3 linked regions of the Arabidopsis thaliana genome follow. The protein of the gene in region 3 interacts with the protein of the main gene of each other region in a pairwise test. Each region holds a gene or a part of one and is shown on either strand. Other genes may lie near its edges. The genes, in order: DBP1, NF-YA4 and AT1G55650.

The links.
Region 1: the proteins of AT1G55650 (region 3) and DBP1 interact in a two-hybrid assay, tested with the Arabidopsis thaliana proteins (one large-scale study listed by BioGRID).
Region 2: the proteins of AT1G55650 (region 3) and NF-YA4 interact in a two-hybrid assay, tested with the Arabidopsis thaliana proteins (one large-scale study listed by BioGRID).

The regions. Positions count from the first base shown.
Region 1 is NC_003071.7:10,902,216-10,909,782, reverse strand, and holds DBP1 (DNA-binding protein phosphatase 1), read left to right. Parts: upstream 1-4,515; 5' UTR 4,516-4,804; coding exon 4,805-4,987; intron 4,988-5,203; coding exon 5,204-5,410; intron 5,411-5,521; coding exon 5,522-5,733; intron 5,734-6,052; coding exon 6,053-6,629; 3' UTR 6,630-6,788; exon of another isoform or gene 6,789-6,906; 3' UTR 6,907-7,067; downstream 7,068-7,567. Other genes in the region: BGLU14 (beta glucosidase 14), read right to left, coding at 1-250, 302-1,423; AT2G25625 (histone deacetylase-like protein), read right to left, coding at 2,684-3,041, 3,121-3,221; AT2G25610 (ATPase, F0/V0 complex, subunit C protein), read left to right, coding at 7,142-7,410, 7,498-7,567.
Region 2 is NC_003071.7:14,647,619-14,654,878, reverse strand, and holds NF-YA4 (nuclear factor Y, subunit A4), read left to right. Parts: upstream 1-3,169; 5' UTR 3,170-3,315; intron 3,316-3,577; 5' UTR 3,578-3,623; coding exon 3,624-3,651; intron 3,652-3,743; coding exon 3,744-3,859; exon of another isoform or gene 3,860-4,205; coding exon of another isoform or gene 4,206-4,244; coding exon 4,245-4,328; intron 4,329-4,416; coding exon 4,417-4,581; intron 4,582-4,657; coding exon 4,658-4,861; 3' UTR 4,862-5,173; downstream 5,174-7,260. Other genes in the region: AT2G34730 (myosin heavy chain-like protein), read right to left, coding at 1-268. UniProt on the Arabidopsis thaliana protein: Stimulates the transcription of various genes by recognizing and binding to a CCAAT motif in promoters.
Region 3 is NC_003070.9:20,793,028-20,800,755, reverse strand, and holds AT1G55650 (HMG (high mobility group) box protein with ARID/BRIGHT DNA-binding domain-containing protein), read right to left. Parts: upstream 4,417-7,728; coding exon 4,250-4,416; intron 3,535-4,249; coding exon 3,456-3,534; intron 3,358-3,455; coding exon 3,195-3,357; intron 3,109-3,194; coding exon 3,061-3,108; intron 2,937-3,060; coding exon 2,611-2,936; intron 2,506-2,610; coding exon 2,275-2,505; 3' UTR 2,162-2,274; downstream 1-2,161. Other genes in the region: AT1G55660 (FBD, F-box and Leucine Rich Repeat domains containing protein), read right to left, coding at 1-62; PRA1.G1 (prenylated RAB acceptor 1.G1), read right to left, coding at 6,422-6,985; AT1G55630 (Pentatricopeptide repeat (PPR) superfamily protein), read left to right, coding at 7,506-7,728. UniProt on the Arabidopsis thaliana protein: Binds preferentially DNA with A/T-rich content.

The sequences.
Region 1 (7,567 bases), on a different chromosome or scaffold from region 3:
CAAACCTGACCGTGTACCCCGATGCCCATTCAAAGTTATCTAGCAACGACCATGCAAAAAAGCCCTTAACGTTTGCTCCAATCAAGATAGCGTCTTGAACCATCTTGAGATGTCGAGCGTAGTAATCGATTCTATCGCCATCTTTAAGTAAGATTTTACCAGTGCTAGCTTCATCTCTCCCATTTTCTGTTATGTACATGACAGGGTCTTTGAACTTGTATTTTGCATAGAGGATAAGATCACGAATTCCCTTTGGATATATCAAAAGTCAATCTGATGCAGCTTTTGGACCAATGGGAACTCCATCTCTTTCGCCTGTGACGCTAGCACAAGGATCAGAGAACATTGTAACGTTTTCGCTTGAGCAAGGAACATCTTTTGCATAAGAAGACGAGTAATAATTGATGCCAATGAAATCATATGATCCCTTAAGCATGTTAGATTGTTTTGAAGTAAATGTAGGCAAGCGACCGCCTTTTACGTTGTTAACCATGTCAACCGGGTATTTACCGGTCACGAGCGGCTCCATGAAATAGTCGAATGTGAAAGCCATGGCTCGTGCCGCGGCTAACCTATCCTCAGCTGATTCTGTATAAGGTAAGTTCCAACCTGCATTCAAAGCTATACCGACTTGACCTTTTTGAGAAGCCTTATACTTTTTTCTATAGACTTTGATTGCTTCTCCGTGAGCTAGGATAAGGTTGTGACCAACGATATAAGGCTCGGTGGCTCCATTCCCGGCGGTGCAGTTAGGGTTTGTAAATTTTGAACACCTTCCTGGAGCCATAACACCTGCAACATATCCTTGTTGCACCACTGTTAATGGCTCGTTCAATGTAATCCAATGTTTCACTCGATCTCCAAAGCTCTTGAAACAAATATCGGCATAGTCGCGAAAATCATTAACAATTTCTGCCCCACGGAATCCTCCGTAAGCATCTTCAAGGTCTTGTGGTGTGTCCCAATGGAAAATGGTTGCGAAAGGCTTAATTCCTTTAGACAAAAGCTCATTGATCAAGTTGTTGTAATAGTCAATACCAGCTTGGTTGATTCCTCCTTTAAGATTCCCACGAGGCAAAATACGCGACCACGAGATGGAGAATCTATAGGCATTGAACCCAATTTGATGCAATAAACCCACATCCTCCTTGTAAAGATGGTAAGAGTCATCTGCAATAGATCCGTTGCTACCATCTTTTATCTTTTCTGGGTATTTTTCAGAAAACGTATCCCATATACTAGGTCCTCTACCATCTTCCTGAGCAGCTCCTTCAACTTGGTACGCAGAGGTTGCAGCTCCGAAAATGAAATCTTCTGGGAAATCAGTTTTTCTTAATTTAGGTGTTGAAGAGTGTCTCTTGGCAACAACTTCATTGGAAGCCAAGATGATGAACACTAGTACGGAGAAATATTTACTTGTCATTCTAAATTTTTCTTTTGATTATTGAATCTTTGTTTGTTGTAATATAATGAATTATGTCTAGAGTTATATAGGCAAGAGATTTGTTTTTACATTGGGTATGTGAATCTATAAATAGAGAAATGTAAGATAGAGATGGTGTAACAAATCTTTTAATTTTTACTTGTCCATAATTAGTGAATAGAAGACTATTGAAATGATCTTATCTAGTTGTCTTTCTAGTAGGAAAAAATTAGAAACACACTTGTAAATATTTTCCTTTTTCTTGTAACTACTTTTTTTATCCAACAATTTTGTAAATTCCCAAAATAATTCAAATAACTCTCTCAAGACTCCATTATAAACTATTCTTTTTTTTGTTAAATCCATTATAAACTATTCACAATGATCTTAACTAGTTATCGTCTTTATGATTTATGTCTCGAGAGAGTTATTTGAAATATCTAAGAAATTTACAAAAAAAAATGTTTTCTGTAAGTTTCAAACTAGTTTTAGAAAATCGTGAGTGTGGATTTGCATAAGATGATCAAGCTGTGTCCATTTTCTTGTTAACGTAGGTCTCTTATTGCAAAACCAATTTTTTCTTCTTCTTCTCTTCATGCTACGAGTCTTTTCTCTCTCGCTAAGGCTAATCTCCCTTTATTCTCTCACCATTCTTGTAAAAGCAAAGAACATGAGCATCAAGAAATTAAATTATTGAAGGTCCGACATGGAAGTGAAATTTGTAGAGTTGTAGTTAAACTTTGAAATACGAGGCCGAAATCAAACTAATCGTTGGAGTGACATAGAGTTGGGCTTCACTTTGGATCGATAATAGGCCAACTCATTTCAGTAGGAAGTACTTGGAGTGTTTTTCTTTTGTACTACACGCATGTACTACTTTTCTTTCATTTCACATCCAATAGAGTACTACTTTAACACACAAAGCTGAAAACTCCCAAAATTTGGTAGGATACAAGATTACAAAACAAAGAAAAAAAGGACGGACCAAAACTAATCGTGCACATAAAGATCTCAATGAATTTAATGAGTTAATTATTTTTATACGGTTCGATTTAAACCAAAAATCAAAAATGGCATCCTCAAAGAAAATTTTGCATGAATTAAAGACCAGTTTGGTTCAATGTTTTGTCATCAGTAACTACACAAACAAATACTTAAAATTTAATATATCTACAATAGTTTTTGTGTGTATTATTTGTTTCTAATTGACTTTTTTTACACCTGCCTAACAATCTCCCTTACACGTAATGAACTTCCAATTTACACGGAGAAACAACCACCCCTGTTGACACGTGTCATCACCACACCGACCGGCGGTGCATCACCCTTAGCTAATCCGGCTAACTCCAAACGTCGATGAGCAGACGGACGAGGAAGATTCTCCGGTACGATGGTCTCTAGCGAGTTCTCAAGCCAAGGCGGACACGTCCTCTTGTCACTCCACCTCCGCGGCGGCACCACACCCGCAGCCATCTCTTCTACCGGCGATTTCACAACCGCAGCTTCCACTGATGCAACATCATTGATCTGAATCCCGCCGATTACGACAGTTGCCGCCACCCCCAAGACAAAAGAACACTTGTTTTTCCGTGGCTCTGTCTCATTTTCTGTTCTCCTACTAAACAATAAAAGAACAAAGATCATTGATATGAAAAATTATCAGGTAAATAATAACTTTTCATGAATAGAAGAGATACCAAGAGATCTTTGACGTTGTCTTGAGCAGTGAAGCTAATGATTGTGCAGAATTTGAATCTAGGGGAGGAAGATTTAGACAGCAGCTTATTCTCCCTGCCATTGTTATTCCTCTGTTTTCGTTTCCTTCTTTTTCTTAAGAATCCACCTAGAACAAATTTTATTTTATTCCTTTCACCTCCAACATATATATAACTACTAACCCATTCTTACTTGGGTCACTCATTTTTTCTTACTATATATGTATCCTCAAATTATTACATTTCATATGCGCATGCAATACAAACCACATCTAAATTTTTCTTCCAATATGTTCTTTCTCTATACTTAACTAAAGCCCAAAGAATGAACTTAACCTAGAAAAGATGGACTTGACCCAATAGCATTGGTCCGTTGGAGATGTTAGGTCCATACTCCATACAAAGACAAATTGAACAAAAGTCGTGAATCTGTTTGCTACGTCTGAATAACAACGTACACGTATCACGCCTTGCGAACAAATTATTTGACAATGATGGCCAATTAGCATGTGTCATCACTTGTTACCACGTCAACAAGGTTCTTGTCGGTCCGTTTAATTAATAGTAACCATCGTTTTCAGGAAAAAAATCCACATAAAAAGTTTCTAATGGCGAAACAATATTCAAATATTTCCTAACAACTACCATGAGACTGATTCTTTTTCTCTTCCGAAAAATTAATGAGACTGAGTCCTAATTTTTCTTATAGTTAATTTGGTGACCATCAAAGAATGTAAAAGTATTTAGGAAACAGCACAAATAATCTGGCAATTACGGTCTACAACATGTTTATTTACTTATTTTTAAATTATAGAAAAATTTAATATTTTAATATCTTATATTTAATGCCCTAAATAACACTAAATCACACATATAAATAGCAGAGATATAAATATAGAAAAACATTCCAAGCATTTTTCAGTACTTAACATTTATACAGAAAAACAATTAAACATTTTTCAGCACTTAATAATTAACATATGTGAGAAATTCATAAACTCTATTAAATATTCATGAAAATAATGTATTTTTAATTTTATAAGTAATATCTCATGTGTCGACTTTTTTTATATAAAAAAGATGTAAAAAAGGTCCCAAGTTACTAAAATTCAATTTTGTCAACTTAACTCAAAATCTTTTTGCTATTAGTCTAAAATTTCAGATTTCCTTTCTTGCTATTTTTCAAAATACTATGTTTACTTCTCATATAAACTGTAAATATATCCCTTTTTTAATAAGAAAAAAAATCTCTCACTTCAAAAACAAAAAGGAAAAAAAAAAGCAAAGAGAAAAAGTAAATAATACGCCGACGTTTCGTGTTTATGTTAAGCTTCCTTTTTCCTTTTTCCTTTTTCTTTTTGCCTTTTAAATAACCGTCGGACTCATATTTCTCGCCTCCGCCGGCGAACAGTTTTATTATCTCTCTCTTTCTGCGTGTTCCAATTTCTTCCACAAAACCCTAATTTTCTCTTAAACCCTGAAATTCGTGTAACCTTTCAACAATCTCTTCAATTTTGTTTTCGATTCTGAATCCATTGTTTACGAATCTCTCATCTAAAGCTACATTCTTCGTTAAATCGTTTTTAATCGACTCGCTCACTCGTGAGTTGACTCGTCAGCTGTTTCCATAATTGCTTATTGAATTTTTATACGATGATGTTTCAATATGGAAGAAACTAGAGGAATTTCTGATCCAGAGAATGGGAGTTCGAGTTACGGCGGTAAACCGCCGAATCCACTCTCCTTCTCTTCTTCCTCCGCCGCTGCTGCCGTTTACAGGCAAACCTTCGACGGCGAGCGATCGTTGGCGCCGTGTAATAAGAGGTCACTGGTTCGACACTCATCTCTCGTAAGATTCGTTTCTCTTCAACTTGATTTGTGGATCAGTTAGGTTTATTTTGTGTATTGAATGATCAATTTAAGTTGAGGTTTTGTAATTATTGCTCTGCTTTTGGATTTGATCATTATTGGTTTCCTAATGTGTATAATTAAGGTAGAAAGTTTCTGTTTTTAATGTGTCATTATGAGATGTTTGAGGTTTTCTGATTGATTTTCATTTTGGTAGGTGAAGACAATGGTGTCAGATATATCTGTTGAGAATGAGTTTACTATAGAGAAGAACAAGTCTGAGTTTGTTCCTGCTACGCGTTCTGGAGCTTGGTCTGATATTGGCTCCAGGTCAAGCATGGAAGATGCTTATCTATGCGTTGATAATTTCATGGATAGCTTTGGCCTTCTGAATTCTGAGGCTGGTCCAAGTGCCTTCTATGGGGTATGTTCTTTCTTCAGTTTTCCTGATTTTTTGTAGATTTGTAGCATAAGCAAACAACTGTGAATGTAGTGAAAATATGGGGATCTCTTATTGAATTTTGTTTGTTATTAGGTATTTGATGGACATGGTGGGAAGCATGCCGCTGAGTTTGCATGTCACCATATACCGAGGTACATTGTTGAAGATCAAGAGTTTCCTAGTGAAATCAATAAGGTGTTATCTTCAGCATTTCTTCAAACAGACACTGCCTTCTTAGAGGCGTGTTCATTGGATGGGAGCCTTGCTTCAGGAACTACTGCTTTGGCAGCTATTCTTTTTGGAAGGTTTGTTGATTCAACTCTTATTATCTTTTAGTTTTGTCTAACCTAAACTCTTACATCTTGGTTATGTTAAAGAAAAACGTGTTTGGGAATAGATGCTTATCCTCAACTGCGTAGTGTGCATAATCTTGACCTTTAACACAATCATGTACAACTAATTCGCCTGTAGATGTATTCTCTGCCCATATGTGCTGCTGCTATAATGTAGTTATTGTCTCATATGGTCTTTGAGTCACGTATATACTTGCTCATTTCATACTCTATTAGTATTCTGGTATGAAACCGTTTGGTACCGTGTTAACATATAGTTTTGTGGTAACAGGTCGTTGGTGGTAGCAAACGCTGGAGATTGCAGAGCAGTCTTATCCCGTCAGGGAAAAGCCATTGAAATGTCAAGAGACCACAAACCCATGAGCAGTAAGGAAAGGAGACGCATTGAAGCATCGGGTGGACATGTATTCGATGGCTATCTAAATGGACAACTTAATGTGGCTCGAGCGCTAGGTGACTTTCATATGGAAGGCATGAAGAAGAAGAAAGATGGTTCTGATTGTGGACCTCTAATTGCAGAGCCTGAGCTCATGACAACAAAACTAACAGAAGAGGATGAGTTCCTTATAATTGGGTGTGACGGGGTTTGGGATGTGTTCATGAGCCAGAATGCTGTAGATTTTGCCAGAAGGAGACTACAGGAGCACAATGACCCGGTCATGTGTAGTAAGGAGCTGGTTGAGGAAGCTTTGAAGAGGAAGAGTGCTGATAATGTGACGGCAGTGGTTGTGTGTCTTCAGCCACAGCCACCACCGAACTTGGTAGCGCCGAGGTTGAGAGTTCACAGAAGCTTCTCGGCGGAGGGTTTAAAAGATTTACAGAGCTACTTGGATGGCTTGGGAAACTAATTGGGGGACATGAGGATGGTGACGAATGATTGATTTCTCTGTTTTTGTTTTGTCTTTTCTTACAATTTTATAGTTTGGGGTTTGGAGGTTTTGTTCTGTTAAATTCTCGCAATTTGAGTAAGTTATAACATGAGGCGGCATACAATAATTTATTGTTTGGTAGGATATATTTTTTTGTCACTTTTGCATAATAATAATTCTGCTTCAGTCTCATTTGTTTTGTAACTAGAAAGTTATTCCAATTCCTGCGTTTACCGAATATGTTGTGTTCTTGCAGAATGACGTATGTTAGATATGCAGTAAACTCGAGGGTCGGCTTTGACCACATCGCCACTTATCGGTTTGCGGATGCTGGAAAAGTCAGTCTAGTGATGAGGCTGAGTGAGCCATCGTCAGTTACTATTTTATCGTGAAACTCTGAACAACGAGATTGTCCCGGATATTCAAATGAGGAACAAGGCCCAATAGTCCGATCAAAGTGGGCTATTCGTATCGCTTACGAGGCCTATACGATGGTAATTGAATTCACGCGCATTCATCAGCGCGTGATTTGGAGTTGCTCAATTTCAGATCGCACAGGCTCTGTTAATCATCTCCTCCTCCGAAAGACAGAGAAAGAGACAAATCAAATTCATTCATATCAAAGAGATAGAGAGAAAATGTCCGGTGTGGCTATTCATGCGAGTTCATGGGGCGCGGCTCTGGTGAGAATCTCCCCGTACACTTTCTCCGCCATCGGAATCGCCATCTCCATCGGCGTCTCTGTTCTTGGTGCTGCCTGGTATAAATCCTTTTCTTCTTCTCCCCATTGATTTGCGAAATCATCATGCTTACGAAAACTATTTTGCTCTCTCTCTTTATGGTTTAGGGGAATTTACATTACCGGAAGTAGTTTGATCGGTGCCGCCATTGAAGCTCCTCGAATCACTTCCAAGAAT
Region 2 (7,260 bases), on a different chromosome or scaffold from region 3:
TTGACAATTCAAGATCTTTCTGAGCTATCTTCTCAGCAGCATCAGACTCAATAGCAGTTACCATTCCCCTTATAATCGAATCACTCACCACTCGTGAGATAGTTAACCTATCATTTATGTCCTCCCAGTAAGAATCTAAATCCTCAAGAAAATCAACATCCGGATTCTCGTTCTCTTTAAGAACACCATTAACCTGGAGTGATGATGATAAAGTGTCATCATGAAACTCTAAACTACCATTCTCAGACTTCACGACCTCTTCCTCCATAAGGTTATTAACTAATTCCACCACTCTTTTCTCACAATAACCCTGTGAGAGAAACAACAGTGTTCAATAAAAATCAAAACTTTACAACAAAATTTACTCCTTAATTAAGCTATCCCAGCTAATGAATTGAGATTACAAATCCTATAAGAAAACTCTAACGACCATGACCAAATAAAAGGAGAAGCAAACTTACAAGTCGAGGTAAAGTGACGAATTGACCTTAAGAAGAGCTAATCACAGCGTCGATTTCAAGGATGAGACTTTCTTCTTGTTCTTGCAGAGTTTTAGGGTTTCCAAAGAAAACGCATAGTAAAGGGAGAGAAAGTTTAAGAGGCGCTACGCTACACCTGAGCGGAGCGGGAGACTCGAGAACAAAGCTTATGCCCAGCTCCTTTACCCTTGAATTTACGATATTACCCCTATTAATTTTGTCTTTTGTCATTATACCTTTTTGAGAAAATACAATGTACATGTGTATGTATATTATGTGTTTGGCTCTATCTTAAACTATATCATTATTTCGGCTAACATTTGTTGACGAGACTTATTTTTTCATGCAAAGATGTTCACATTTATATATAATATAAGTAGCCTGTTCAAATGGGTCAAGCTCAATCCAACAAATTCAGTTTTTCATGGATTTATTTATTGTTTTCTGGGTTGGAAAGAGCTTATTCATTCGTTAATTTTAGTTCAATACTTCAATTCATTAGGGTTATTCATACTTATATGACTAAAATAAGGGAATTATAATATTTCTTTTATGGATATACTAGAATGTGTTGCTAAGACAATAATAATTGGAAAGAATTCATTGAGTTGATCTCATAATCATTAAGGTTTCTACCTAATTCAAAATCATTGTTTAGTCCAATCCAACTAATCCGATGATTAAATTAATCCGGATTCTTTTTAAAGAACTAATAAAAGATCGGAGCCTCTGTTTTAGAAGTCTTAACTTTTTGGTCTATTACTTTTCATAGCTTTATTCTTCGGTCAAGATGTCATTCTTGGAACAAGAAAAATGTTTATATGACTAATATGGTTGTGACATTCGATTAATTAATTATAGATTTCGGATGACATTTTAATTTTTTAGTATTTCTATTCTAGATATATTTTTGGTAATAAAGCTAGATTTGACAATATGATTGATGTTAAATTTAAGATTTATATGACAACTATAACAAGAGGTATTTCTAAATCTAAGTTTTACTTAATTTTTCTCTATAATCTATTTGAATCAATATACTTTTGAACACCCCTTCGATAAAAATTAGTATATTTATCTTCACAATTATAAAAGAATCTCATCCTTATCTTTCTATCAAATTTATGAATTTGGTCTCATCTCTATCTTTTTCTTTTGCTTTTACTTTGTGTAAGTGGTATTTTTTTTTTTTTTTTGTATCATGGATTAAACTAGATTATGACGGTTTGATCTTGATGGTTGGGGTTTAAGTCTTATTAACTAAAATCGTTCTTTTGAGGCGATCTTTGTAGGAAAAACCAAACTAGGATAGATTTGTGCTCAAATGAACTAACATAGAAATCTAAAACTGAAAATAAGAGACCTCATTAAGCTTATTGCACAAAACAAAAGTATGAGGGGAAAAGATTTAGATTGTCCCCAAGAATAGAATGACTTTAGTTTTGATTTCAAAGAAGGGGATAGACTATGGAGTTAAGTGACAACTCTCTACGTTAGTCTCACTGTTCTCACTACATGATTATATATAAGAGACTACTTGCTCATCTACTTAACCTAATTACATGAACTTGTGTTGGGTTTTTCCAATATCATGAACTTATAATCTTTGGTTTTGTTAGGAATGCTCTTTTAATCTCAGTGCTAAATTATGCTTGATATTTATAACTTTTTTTTTTTTTTTTTATATTTATAACTTTATACGTGCTGACATGCACTTGAGGACTTTGAGGTGTCGAATCAAGAATCATGATGATAAGGAGTTTAGGGATGAAAGCAGACTATATAATCGTATAGGTGATTAAGTAAGCATGGTTATTTAATGACTGCTCAGTCACTTCATTTACTTGTGTATTAATCATGTTTACTAGTTAGTTTTCGTCCATTTCCAAACGCTAATTTGTTGTTCAATGACTGCTCACTCACTTCATTTACGTTAAACGTTTCTTACTTGTCGAATGCATACTTACTTGATTTTGACCTATAGTTACTTGTCGAATACTGTGACCTCGTATAAGTGATCAAAGGCGTTACAACTTTTGGTGGTCTTTTACACATAAGTGATAGTTTTCAATTATTTTTCGAGTCAAAGCAATTAGCAAATACTTTTTTAGGAAAGTTTTTTTTTTCTTTTTTTTTTTTTGGGCAAAATTTTTAGGAAACTTATAAATAATAAGTTACTTATTATGGAATCATGTACTGTTTTTTTCTGAAGTCACTCATCACTCGTTCGTTTAAGTAGGTTTTGTTTTGTCACTGAACCGAAGTCAAACCAATCTAAATACCAAAGCTGGTTTAATGTCTCTGAAATTCGAACAAAACCAAAAGCGAACGGAATCTTCGGTTTCGATACCGACGCTTCTTTGATGACTCACAACGAAAGATATATTTGAGGGCAACGGGCACAAGTAGGGTCAGGCAAAACTAGTGGAGTTGAACAATCGATAACATATTCGGGCAGCTTTTCAGATCTGCCCGTCTTTTCCTACAATCTCGATCGTTGTTTCGACACTTGTCCTCATTGTATTAGCCTCCTTTTCACTGTTGCACATCGTGTCGTTTACCACTCCTACACATTTTCGTGGTTCTGAGTTGACCTATCACTACAGTGTGAGTGGAAAACATGAAAACGGCACGATGTTAATGAATATTAGAGAAGGACGGAGGCTATGAACTGAAAAAACGACATGGTGTGTCCCTCTTGGGTCTAGCCGTTTAGGCCTCTGTTAGTCATTTCGTCTCTTCCTTAGTTAGAACAAAAAAGGAGAGACCTTTAACAATTTTCTGAGGGTAAGATCCAGAGATTGATTGAATCAGCTTACTATTTTATATAATTCAGGTAAATTCTTATGTTTCTTTCCCTCCAGATTTTGAAAGTTTCTAGCTTTTGTTGTTCTGTATCTACTCGTTTCCGGGAAAATGCTTTTGCTATGTATGTTGAGATGTGATAGTAGAGGTTAAGATTGGTTTTTCTCTGTTCTGGGTTTGCTTTAGATTCTAGGGTTGTGATTGAATTCTGATTTTGGGGTTTTGGTTTAGTGAATTCCGATTCTCAAACTCTTGGCTTTGGTACTGACTTTTGTGCTTTGTTGTTGTTTCAGTTTGTTGTTCCTCAGACTTGTAACTAGGACAGTCTTCTCATGAATCATGACTTCTTCAGTACATGAGCTCTCTGGTTTTGTCTCTCTTTCTGACCATTTTCATTATGCTCTCGTTTTATTGTTGTATCTTCCTAACTGATTCTTGGTGGTATGTTTTGCTGGTCAGATAACAATGAAAGTCATGCGAAGAAAGAACGTCCAGATTCCCAAACCCGACCACAGGTTCCTTCAGGACGAAGTTCGGAATCTATTGATACAAACTCTGTCTACTCAGAGCCCATGGTAATTTCTCTCAGCCAAAATCTCAACTATTTGTGCAGGCTACATTCAATGAGTGATCTTTATTTCGATTATATGATATTTGGTTTAGTTTCTGTGTGATCTTGCTCTCGGTTATAATATGTTTGCTTGTGATTCTCTTTTTCAATGCTAAAAGTTTTGTTTTGATGCTTACAATGCCAAAACTTGGTTGTTTGAGATAATTCAAGCAAGAAAGTCCCGGGATCATCGCCTTTCTGCAGTTTTAGACTTCGTACGAATGTAAACTTTGATTGCTTTGAAAATCAGTCTTGAGATGCAGTGTAATGATAATGTTGATTCCAAGTAATGCTAAACTTTTTAACCTGAGATGATACGGTTTTTGTTTTTGTGTGTGTTGGTATTGAAGGCACATGGATTATACCCGTATCCAGATCCTTACTACAGAAGCGTCTTTGCACAGCAAGCGTATCTTCCACATCCCTATCCTGGGGTATGTATTATTTATTACTCAGCCCCAACGTCTCCGGTTTGGAATATTTAGAAAAGCTTTTGTTTTATTTTTAAAGTTTTTTTTTCAGGTCCAATTGCAGTTAATGGGAATGCAGCAGCCAGGAGTTCCATTGCAATGTGATGCAGTCGAGGAACCTGTTTTTGTTAACGCAAAGCAATACCATGGTATACTCAGGCGCAGGCAATCCCGGGCAAAACTTGAGGCACGAAATAGAGCCATCAAAGCAAAAAAGGTAAAATCCTGGCGGGCAAGTGCTGTAATTTGTTTGGTAGAATCCTTCCCAATAAGTTGTAATTTCTTGTTTTCAGCCATACATGCATGAATCTCGGCATTTACATGCGATAAGACGGCCAAGAGGATGTGGTGGCCGGTTTCTCAATGCCAAGAAGGAAAATGGAGACCACAAGGAGGAGGAGGAGGCAACCTCTGATGAGAACACTTCAGAAGCAAGTTCCAGCCTCAGGTCCGAGAAATTAGCTATGGCTACTTCTGGTCCTAATGGTAGATCTTGAGGAAGGTTTCTGCACAACCACAAGTTTAGTTTCTATTTTGGGTGGATGTTCTCAGGGCATCATCGTCTTTAGTGTTTTTGGATACGCTGTGTACAGGTTATTTGCTAGGGTAAACTTTGTTTTAGCGATTAGAAATAAAACTAAGCAAAGAAATGAAAAGTGTGATTGGAAGTATTGTTGTACCAAATTGATATTCTTTGCCAATGAACTCATGTTTTGGAAAGTAAATTAATGTTCTTAGCTTTGTTTGCTATGATTTTGAGGATAACTAACACTGATGATAACTACCACTGTGGATTAGTCCATTGTTAGACTAGACTGTTTATTGGTATTCTTCTATATATATGAAATGCATTCTACAGGATCGGATTTGACGTTGTAATTTAGGAGACAAGTAAAACAAGAATTCTTCCGATCTCATAATGTGGTCAATCACTAGGCTCGTTTTCATTTTTAATGAACACATTGCATGCATATCCGACCATATGCTCTTCCGATGATACATTTTGAATGACACGACATACATTATTTTACAATCACAATTCTCTTTTTATACGAGGTATTGTTTCTTTTCTCGACTTGTAGCTCTGTTTTAGTTTTGTCAAGTCTTTAGACCTGTTTACACCATTTTATTATTATCTTCTTTACCACATATAAACTTAGCCTTTTTCTTATATTCACAAAGAGACCATATTTCACCATTCCATTGATGATATATTGGTTAGATGTGTTGGGATAGAATTTGAAACATTGATTTCTGCGACCAAATGGATTCGTTTTGGGAAGAAGGTAGAATAATCTTAGTTTACCACTTTTTTTTATCCACTAAGCATAATCATTTCACTCCCAGACAGTTTATATTTCTGAAGTCATGTTTTGTTCTCTTGCGCCTTTTCTGTTTATTTATATATTTGGATTTAATAAGATTCCATAAAAGCATTGCTTTGATTTTCAGACAGCTTCTGGCTGAAGTTTTGGTTGTTGGCTTATTGCGCTTTAGCTACTGTCTCTCTGGAGTTTAGACAGTTGATGTGAGTTTATCAAATACTTATTAAAACAAAGTACATGTGTTTCCTTCTCTAGTCTCTGTATATGATGGAAAATTGGGAAATGAAAATTATATAAAGAATCTTTGTCAAATAAGATATTATGTCAAATATCATTCGGTTATTCTTCAAATTTAGAAAAAGCAACCAAGTAATATTTTTATGAAGAGATACCAGTGAACCATATAAATTAAAACCTTGAATATGAATTTATCTGAATTCCTTAGTACTTTCATTAAAAAATCCTAAGATGTATACTTATATATTAAATAATAGGACATAAATAACAATATATTATTGGAGTGTTTCCAAATGTTGACTGCATCAAAAGTTCTTTGCATTGTGGGTTAGGTCACATACACATGAATTGGTGTTCATGTGTGTGTATGTGGAGATGCATAACTCAAATCATAGGGAATGATTGCATGAAAGTTTCATTGGAAAAGAGAGCAAAATATAATGGATTTTTCATCTTCTTCATGGGTTGTATAGTGTGGGTTCTATTATATGAAAGGTCGACTATGTTCCTTTAGCTATACAGAACCGCAGGTTGACGCCCAGATAAAATTAAAAGAAAAACCAAAATGAAATGAACTCTTTTGATGGATCATTAGATCATATATATATACTGATCATCATATTCACACCATAATCAACTATAGTTAATTTGGTAACGGGTCCATTATTTGATTGAAATATTATAATCTTTTGGGTAAAGGATCAATTATTTTGATTGAAAACGATCCTCTTCTTCAGAATCAAACGCGATGTTGTCGTCATATGACGTAGTGAAAAAAATGTATATTTGTGGAACGTCTTTTATAAGCTCAATTGTTAAGGTCATGGCGAGTGATATCTACAAACTTTAATCCCACTCATAATTATTAAATTATATTATTATATGATCAAAAACAATATATGCATGAGCAGCCTATCAAACTTGGAGCCTTCGTTTTTATCCATGCCTGACTTTACACCTCTATCATTCCCATGCATGGGTCCCTTCCTCCACCTCTGTTGCTCTCTCTCTTTTTAACACAATAGAAACAAGAGATAGCGAGAAAGAGATGTGAGATTGAAGCAAAGGAAGAAGAACACAATTGTGACAAAAATAGGGCTTTTCTATTTGACTTTTTTTTTTTTTTTTTCACTTTCATTTCATTCCAAAGAGTGGAATAAAAAGACACTTGTGCTTTTCCCTTCCATTGAGTATGTGATCTCAATATCATTGCTGCATCGATTTCCCATTTATGGAGTAAACTCATGTTTTGTTTTTGTATTTATATATACGGAGAAAAAGCAAATCCTAAGTAATTATAATAAAGTTTGATTAGGTATTATCATGGATGCTTT
Region 3 (7,728 bases):
AACCAAGAAAAGAGTGAACATAAGTAAGAACATAGACAAGGAATAATAACACAAAGGAACATAAGATGTATTGCCTTGTCTAGGGCAAACGAACAGGTTTGTTCTCTTAATTAATTTTCTTAATGAATAATCAATAATGAAGGAAATGTTTTAAAAGAAATTGTTTGTAATAAACATGAATTCCACACATTTCGTTGGAAAATACTCACTAAAACATTAGATCTAACATTTACTGTGCACGTTACATTCGTACCATCCATTCATGTAAATCTTGAATAAGCATACACCTACAAGTGTTCAAGTTCCATATATTCAATAAGTTCGAAATAAGTAACACTTTTGCAATGTAAAAGGCGTCCGAATACGAACATGTAAGAATGTAAATATCTTAACCTAAAAGACATTTTCATGAAGCTAACATGGTCCCATGTCAAAAAAAGTTTTAAAAACATGAAAACAATAAATTTTTGAGATTCATTTCATCATAGAACCTTAAGCTATTATGCTCTTGGTTAGAGATGTGTTGTAATTCGATCTAGATTCTCCCTTAATCGAAACGAGATCAAAAGAAAAAGCAACAAAGGAAAGCAAGAAAACTGAAAATCAACGAATAAGCGAGGAGGAAGTCCTTTCTTACTACATAATATATGGAGTTTCTGTTGTAAATAAAAAATCAATAAAACTTTTCATGTGAATCGAAAGTCTCACTCGATGATAGCTATGATTATATAACAAACAACCCTAACTCACGGATTTGATCTTGATTGCCTCTTAATTGTGGGAAGATTGTAGAAACTACTCCCTTCTATCCATTGAAATCGTTACCTTTTTCTTTATTTTATTTTCTTTGGGGAAATTTGTTTCTTCAACCTCGTCTTGAGAGTAAAGAAAATTAAACATATACGATGTCGTCTTGTTTTATTAGATGGCATCCTAGTACACATTCTATGACGGTTTGGGAAAAAATTTGAAAAAATTAATGGTTGATTGAGACAGAACGGTCAAAGTATGTGTCATTTATTCGCTAATTTGGGTATAAGAATTTAAAGTATCTTTGGGTATTTCTAAACATATTATCATTTATATAAAAATACTTCTCATTATTGAAATCCAACATACTCTCTTCTATCCATTGAAATCATCACCTTTTTCTTTATTTTATCCTCTTTGGAGAAATTTGTTTCTTCAACCTCGTTTTGAGAGTAAAGAAAATTAAACATACACGACGTCTTGTTTTATTGGATGGCATCCTAGTACACATTTTATGATGGTTTGGGAACAAATTTGAAAAATTAATGATTGATTGAGACAGATACAGTCAAAGTATGTGTCATTTATTCGCTAATTTGGGTATAAGAATTTAAACTATTTTTGGATATTTCTAAACATATTATCATTTCTATAAAAAATAACTTCTCATTATTGAAATCCAACATACTCTCTTTTATCCATTAAAATCTTCACTTTTTTTTTCTCTATCTCTATATTTCCCAACGTCGTTTTGAAAGTAGAGTAATTTAAATATATACAGCGTCATATTATTTTCTTAGATGGCGTCATAGTAAGCTATGATGGTTTGGGATAGAAGTTTCAAAACATTACTAGCTGATTCACAGAGATACGGTCAAAGTATGTGTCATTTATTTGTTAGTTAATGTGGATATAAAATTTAAAATGATTACTATTTATATTTCTAATGATCATATATCATCTATAAAAAGAACTTCCCATAATGTTCGGATATGACTTAGCCGTTTTTCCCCTAAACCCAAGTTTAAATCTGGTATCTTTCTCCTTAGGGTAAGACTTCAAACATTGACTTCTCCGCCCAAACCGTCTGAAACCTTTGAAATAACTCTAATTCTGTAACTTTTGGTCTTTTCGAAAAATATGAATATATATGTAACAAAAAGGCCCGTTGAGGAAAATAACAAGAAAGCCCGTTATGTTTAGACTAGAATGGATTAGAGAAGCCTCTGCATGCGACCCACAACAGTACGTTGGTTTAAAAAATAAAATACAATCATGATGTTACTTTCAGAAACGGCATGTCTCATACTAGGACGATTAGGACAAGCTAACTCAACTCTTGAAACATAAAGTTTGGCATTAAGATTGCAGAAAAAAAAAAAAAAAAACAATTTATTGAAAGGGTCGTTGCCAAGATTCCACAACTTATTATTAACCAAAGTTCTCATAACATAAAGATAAACTTACAACAAATAGAGAAGACAACGATAGAGAAACACTACTGACCCATCTCAACGGTCAACACTACTGACTCACCTCATCCTCAGTCTCAGCTGCACTACTTGCACTTGTGCATGCATCAGTCTTGGCTAAATTTTCTTGACTCGCCTCATCCGCAGTCTCCGCTGCACTTGCACTTGTACCTGCATCAGTTGCGGCTACAATTTCCGCCACACGAGATTCCATTAAAGATCTGTACTGTAAAATCTCCATTTTATACCTCTTCCCATCCTCACGACTTTTCTCATAATAAACCTGTTCAAAAATCATAAACCAAACCCGTTAAATCCATTCGAGATAAATGAAACTTGAAAACGTAGTTTAAAATCATCAGTTAATTTCTTAAGTCTTTTGAATTACCTTTCTATCAGATTCAGAGAGATTGGTCCACATGTTCCCAAAATTCTTAGGGCTAGATACTTTTTGTCCAGCGTTCTCAGCTTTAATCCTCACGGATTGCTCAGCAACGAAGAAGTTGTAACCGGTTCTTTGACGCTTAGGTGGCTTATGAGAATCCCCCTGAGATGATTTTGCTTTCTTCTTGCCTCTTTTAGTTTCAGGAGAAATGTGGTAAAGCATTCCTTTGAGCTTTTCTGAGCCTACCTTTGTGCTTATAAGATAACCACTTTCGAATTTCCCATCGATGATCCCAGTAATCACGGTGCCAGGTTTCAGTTCTTGAGAGTCTGAATATGTTTCAGAAAGCAAATCCCAACACTCAAAATAAGATGAAAGAAGAGAATCTAAAAACTTTGGATTTATAAATGCAAAAAACATGCAACATATCCAAAAACATGAATTTTTAAGTACCTTTGTCACGGTTTGCAGATTTTTCGATAAGGAGCTTCAATGCTTTTTCTGCGAAGAAAGGACAAACATGTATATTAATCTTGGATCTTCTTGGAGAATTAGAAAGAGAGAGATCATGAATGGTATTTTAAGACCTTTTTCCCAAAATGTAGAAAGTGGAGCTTGGAAGTAATAGAGATGCTCAAATTCAAAGAGCATTTTAAGATACGACTTCCTTAGAACAAATGCTGAATTTGTTATTGTTGTCTTAAAATTGAATGCGTCAATCACTTCTTTGCATCTACGATCCTTGATCACCTAAAATCAATAGGATTTTTAAAACAGAATTGTATAATATTTAATGAAGAAAAAATAGATTTAAAACTTGATGTTCAATGGCACTATGAACTTGTTACCTTTTCAAGACCACCTCGAGATGTGACTTCGTTGAAAAGCCGATGCAGATCAAGACTTTTTCCACCCACAATAGGAATCCTTTACAAACGGAAAAAATCAGAAACAGTTTAATGTAATGAAATTTAGTCAAGAGAATAGATCAACTGAAGCACAAAACATTGAACATATCAGAAGAGCATAAAAGCAATTTCCATTTCCCAACATTTTTACTTTTAAAACAATTTAGCATTAACGGTAACCAAAAAAAAAATTAAAAAAAATCTTACAGCTCTTCGTGGCTTATCAATTCAAATCTTTTTGTCAAAACCAAATAAAGACTGATTTTGGACTACAGTTTAAGAGCAAACCAGATCCAATTCAATAAGCCATACACACTTCCGTGCCTTCACAATTCGATAACCTAATTGGTTTATGCTTCCATCTAGCCAAATAAATTTTATCAAGCCCTTAAATCTACGACAATACGAGTCATTTTTATTTTAAGAGGAAGTTCAGGGCCAAAGCTCAAAGTCACCTTTTCCAATAACAATATTTTGAAGATTTTTTTCCCTTAAACAAAAAAATTGCCACTTATCCCAGTGTTTCTCAAACCAAGGAGAACAAGGCTACTGTCTACTGACTCCTTTGGTATATTTATAACCCACCATACAATGGATTGTGAATAAAGTTGTAGAATCTCTAATAAATTTATCAACCCGATGTAGAGTAGGATTTTTCATCCACAATTGTAATTTTATAAACAATAAAATTCATTAAGAAAACCAAAAACACTAAAAGAACATGCATAACTCACTTAAATTTTTTGTCCGAAGATTCATGGAAATCCCGGAGCATCTCCCAGAAAAGTTCGGGGTTTCGGACAATATCCTGATACAACATAGACATGTGAGAGGAAACGTCGTTGTCTAAAGCAGAGGCATTAGCGGGAACAACTTCAAATTGTGAACTATCGGTCGACATAGTTTCTTTTGGAGTGTTTTTTTTTTTCTTTTGAAAAGATTTTTCAACTTTCAGAGATATAAATGAACGAACTTTCATACAACTTTCAGGATTTTTTTATCTTCTTATCTGGAATTAGGGGCCTAATGTTTATGTACAGATTTTGTTTTTGTCTCCACCACATATGCATATACTAAATCCCCTTTTTCCTTTTACATAATCCGCGTTAAATTAATTACGATTTACGACTTGTTGCAAAATGTTGAATGAATTGTAGCAGTTTTACAAAAAAGGTTTTTCCTTTAAATGTAGTCAGTAGATAAGATTTTATTTATATTATGATATTAAGTAAAGGGTCCTAAGTAAAGTGAGTGCTTTTTCGCTTCGTATTTGAATAAAAATTATCAATGATATTGCATGCATAGATGGACAATATTTCAATTATTTATTCTTTTTATCCAATTTTCCTTAAAACTAAATTAGCTGTTATCTATTTTTAGATACATCATGTAAGAATTTTCTTAGAAAAAAAATTGTAGTGAAATTTTTGGGAAATAATTTTAAAACAAATTAAAATTGGAATAGGTCAAATATTACAATATTTTTGGACATAATCTTTTGTGGTCATATTTTTTTTTCTTTACAAATAATCAATTAAAAGATTTAGACTAAGAAACTTTTACTTTGTTAGTAAATTTCACAAAAGAATATTTAAGGGTGCAGGTGAGTGTAGTAAAGATTGTGGGCTAAGAGGTTGGGGAGATAGTTCTTCAGGACTCAAATAAATGCTCTCGGAGAAGCAGTAAGGTTTAAAAGGGTTAAAAGCTTGCACAGGTTTAACAGGTTAAGAGACAAGAGTACACAGGCAGACAAGACATAGTGAGAAACCAGAAAACTACCTGAGAGAACTCTTGAGGAGAGTGGGAGTAAGATGTAAAACCAAATTAGAGCTTGAAACAGAGGGGATAAGCGGAGGAGGAGACGTCGGAATCACCCAAAATCTCGTCGGAGCTCATTAGGGTTGGTTAATAACCGTTGGAAGTTTCCACTTTTGGGATGCAAAAGGAAACATAGATCTGGTTAAAAGCGGGAGACATACTTCTAATATCCTCCTTGGGTACCGTGCCTGGGAGAGAAAGTTTTTCAAAGTCTCATTCTATGAATTGTAGCAGTTTTAGATAAGGTTTTTCCTTTAAATGTAGTCAGTAGATAAGATTTTATTTATATTATGATATTAAGTAAAGGATCCTAAGTAAAGTGAGTGCTTCGTCGCTTTCGTATTTGAATAAAAATTATCAATGATATTGCATGCGTTAGATGGACAATATTTCAATTATTTATTTTTTTATCCAATTTTCCCTAAAATAAATTAGCCGTTATCGATTTTTAGATACATCATGTAAGAATTTTCTTAGAAAAAAAATTGTAGTGAAATTTTTGGGAAATGATTTTAAAACAAATTAAAATTGGAATAGGTCAAATATTACAATATTTTTGGACATAATCTTTTGTGGTCATATTTTTTTTTTCTCTACAAATAATCAATTAAAAGATTTAGACTAAGAAACTTTTACTTTGTTAGTAAATTTCACAAAAGAATATTTGAGTACCAATGTACCATCCATTAATTGCTTCCACAAGACAAGAGGAGCAATTATGAAAGGCTCTAGCGGAGATGAGAGTACGATAACAAAGATAATGTCCCTATTAAGTTGATACAATGTGAAGGTAGGTAGTTTTAGAACAATTCTTATGGTTATTCTTGTATATAATTTTCTTTTAAAAAAAATTGTATTGATTTCAAATTTTTGGTGTACAGGGAGGGTCATAAATTTTTCTCAAGATAATAGACGATTAGAAAAAAACTGGGCATATCAGAAATGATAATAACTAGTAATAAATATGCAAGCTTGACCGGACATGTAAAATATACTGATACCATTTCGTAACCCACATGGCCACATTCAAATATGACAATGCGTGCGTGAATTTTAAAGGTAATCACATAATTGCATATGACATATCGTCAGCTCCAATGAAGGAAATTGGAAGGAACAACAACATCTTTCTCTTGTACAAAGAGGTCGTCTGAATTCCGTATGATTGCGTGGACCAAACAAAGCAAGACACTTGTAACGACGCCAAGAATCAGGCATTGGAGGCTATTAATGAACCACAATGCCCAAAGCGAGCCAAGAATCAACCCAAAGACGATAACACGGTCGCTAATATGTCGACCGTACAAGACCAACGGATGGTCTCTATAGAAATATAGGAGTAGCCACATGGCTACAAAGGATGCAACCGTGACAAGAGCCATCGGATCACCGATCAAGAAGAGTGTGATGGAAGCAGCGGTTAAAAGTACGTAGTTAACCGCAAAGTGGTGAAGGTTAAGTTTAACGCGCGAAACAGCGGGGGAGAAAGAGCTTGGACGGTCGATGGAACCGAATGCTAGAAATTCTGACCACCATGGACGGTAGCTAGAAACAGAAGCTATTAGATTGTGCACCGACAAGGAGATAACATCACCAGCGGAGAGACTTATCTCCTCCGCCGGGATCAGAACACTCTCCCCCGGTGCTAACATCGCCGATCACCGGACACCACTTTTGAGTTCTCTAGTCAACTAGTTTAACCGAAATTAAAAGTTTTGAAGGTATAGGTATATAGCAAAACAAAAAGTGGTTCCCACGTTGATTAACGTTTTGGGATGGGCCAGTTTTATTTTAGGGCCCATAAAAGTCGGGTCGGATCCTCTTCAAAATGTGGATTCGGTTCAGCGATTCTCTTCTCGGTAGTTCTCAAAAGCAGAGAGCAGCGGCAGAGACGTCTGAGTAGAACCTGGGATCCAGGTTCAGTTATTTTACCATTATACCCCTTGAACTCGTCTTCTTCGTCAAGGTAATCTTCGATTTCAGATGGAATCTGTAGAAATCTAGATTCCAATTTGCTTAATTGCCAATAGTTTGATGGGTTTTTGCGGTTTTGCGAATCCGAGGCTCTCGGAGGTGAGATTTTCGTCTTTGAATTTAGAGTTCTCGGGTCTGCTTAGTTCCTTTAAGTTCCAGAGATGATGAAGAAAAATCTATTTTGGATTAAGCTCAAATATGAACTCTGTAATTCATTATAGCACTAGTGTTGCGGTTCGTAAAGCTTCTCGCTTTCTCTTCACATCGAGGAAATTTTGCAATGGTAGCATCGGTGGTGATGTAACCGATAACGGGACCGAAGAGCCCTTGAAGATAACTTGGGAATCTTCGGAGATGGATTGTGAGTTTGACCAGGAGGAAAATGGTGAGAAAATCTCTGTTAGAAAAAGGTTTATGGAGA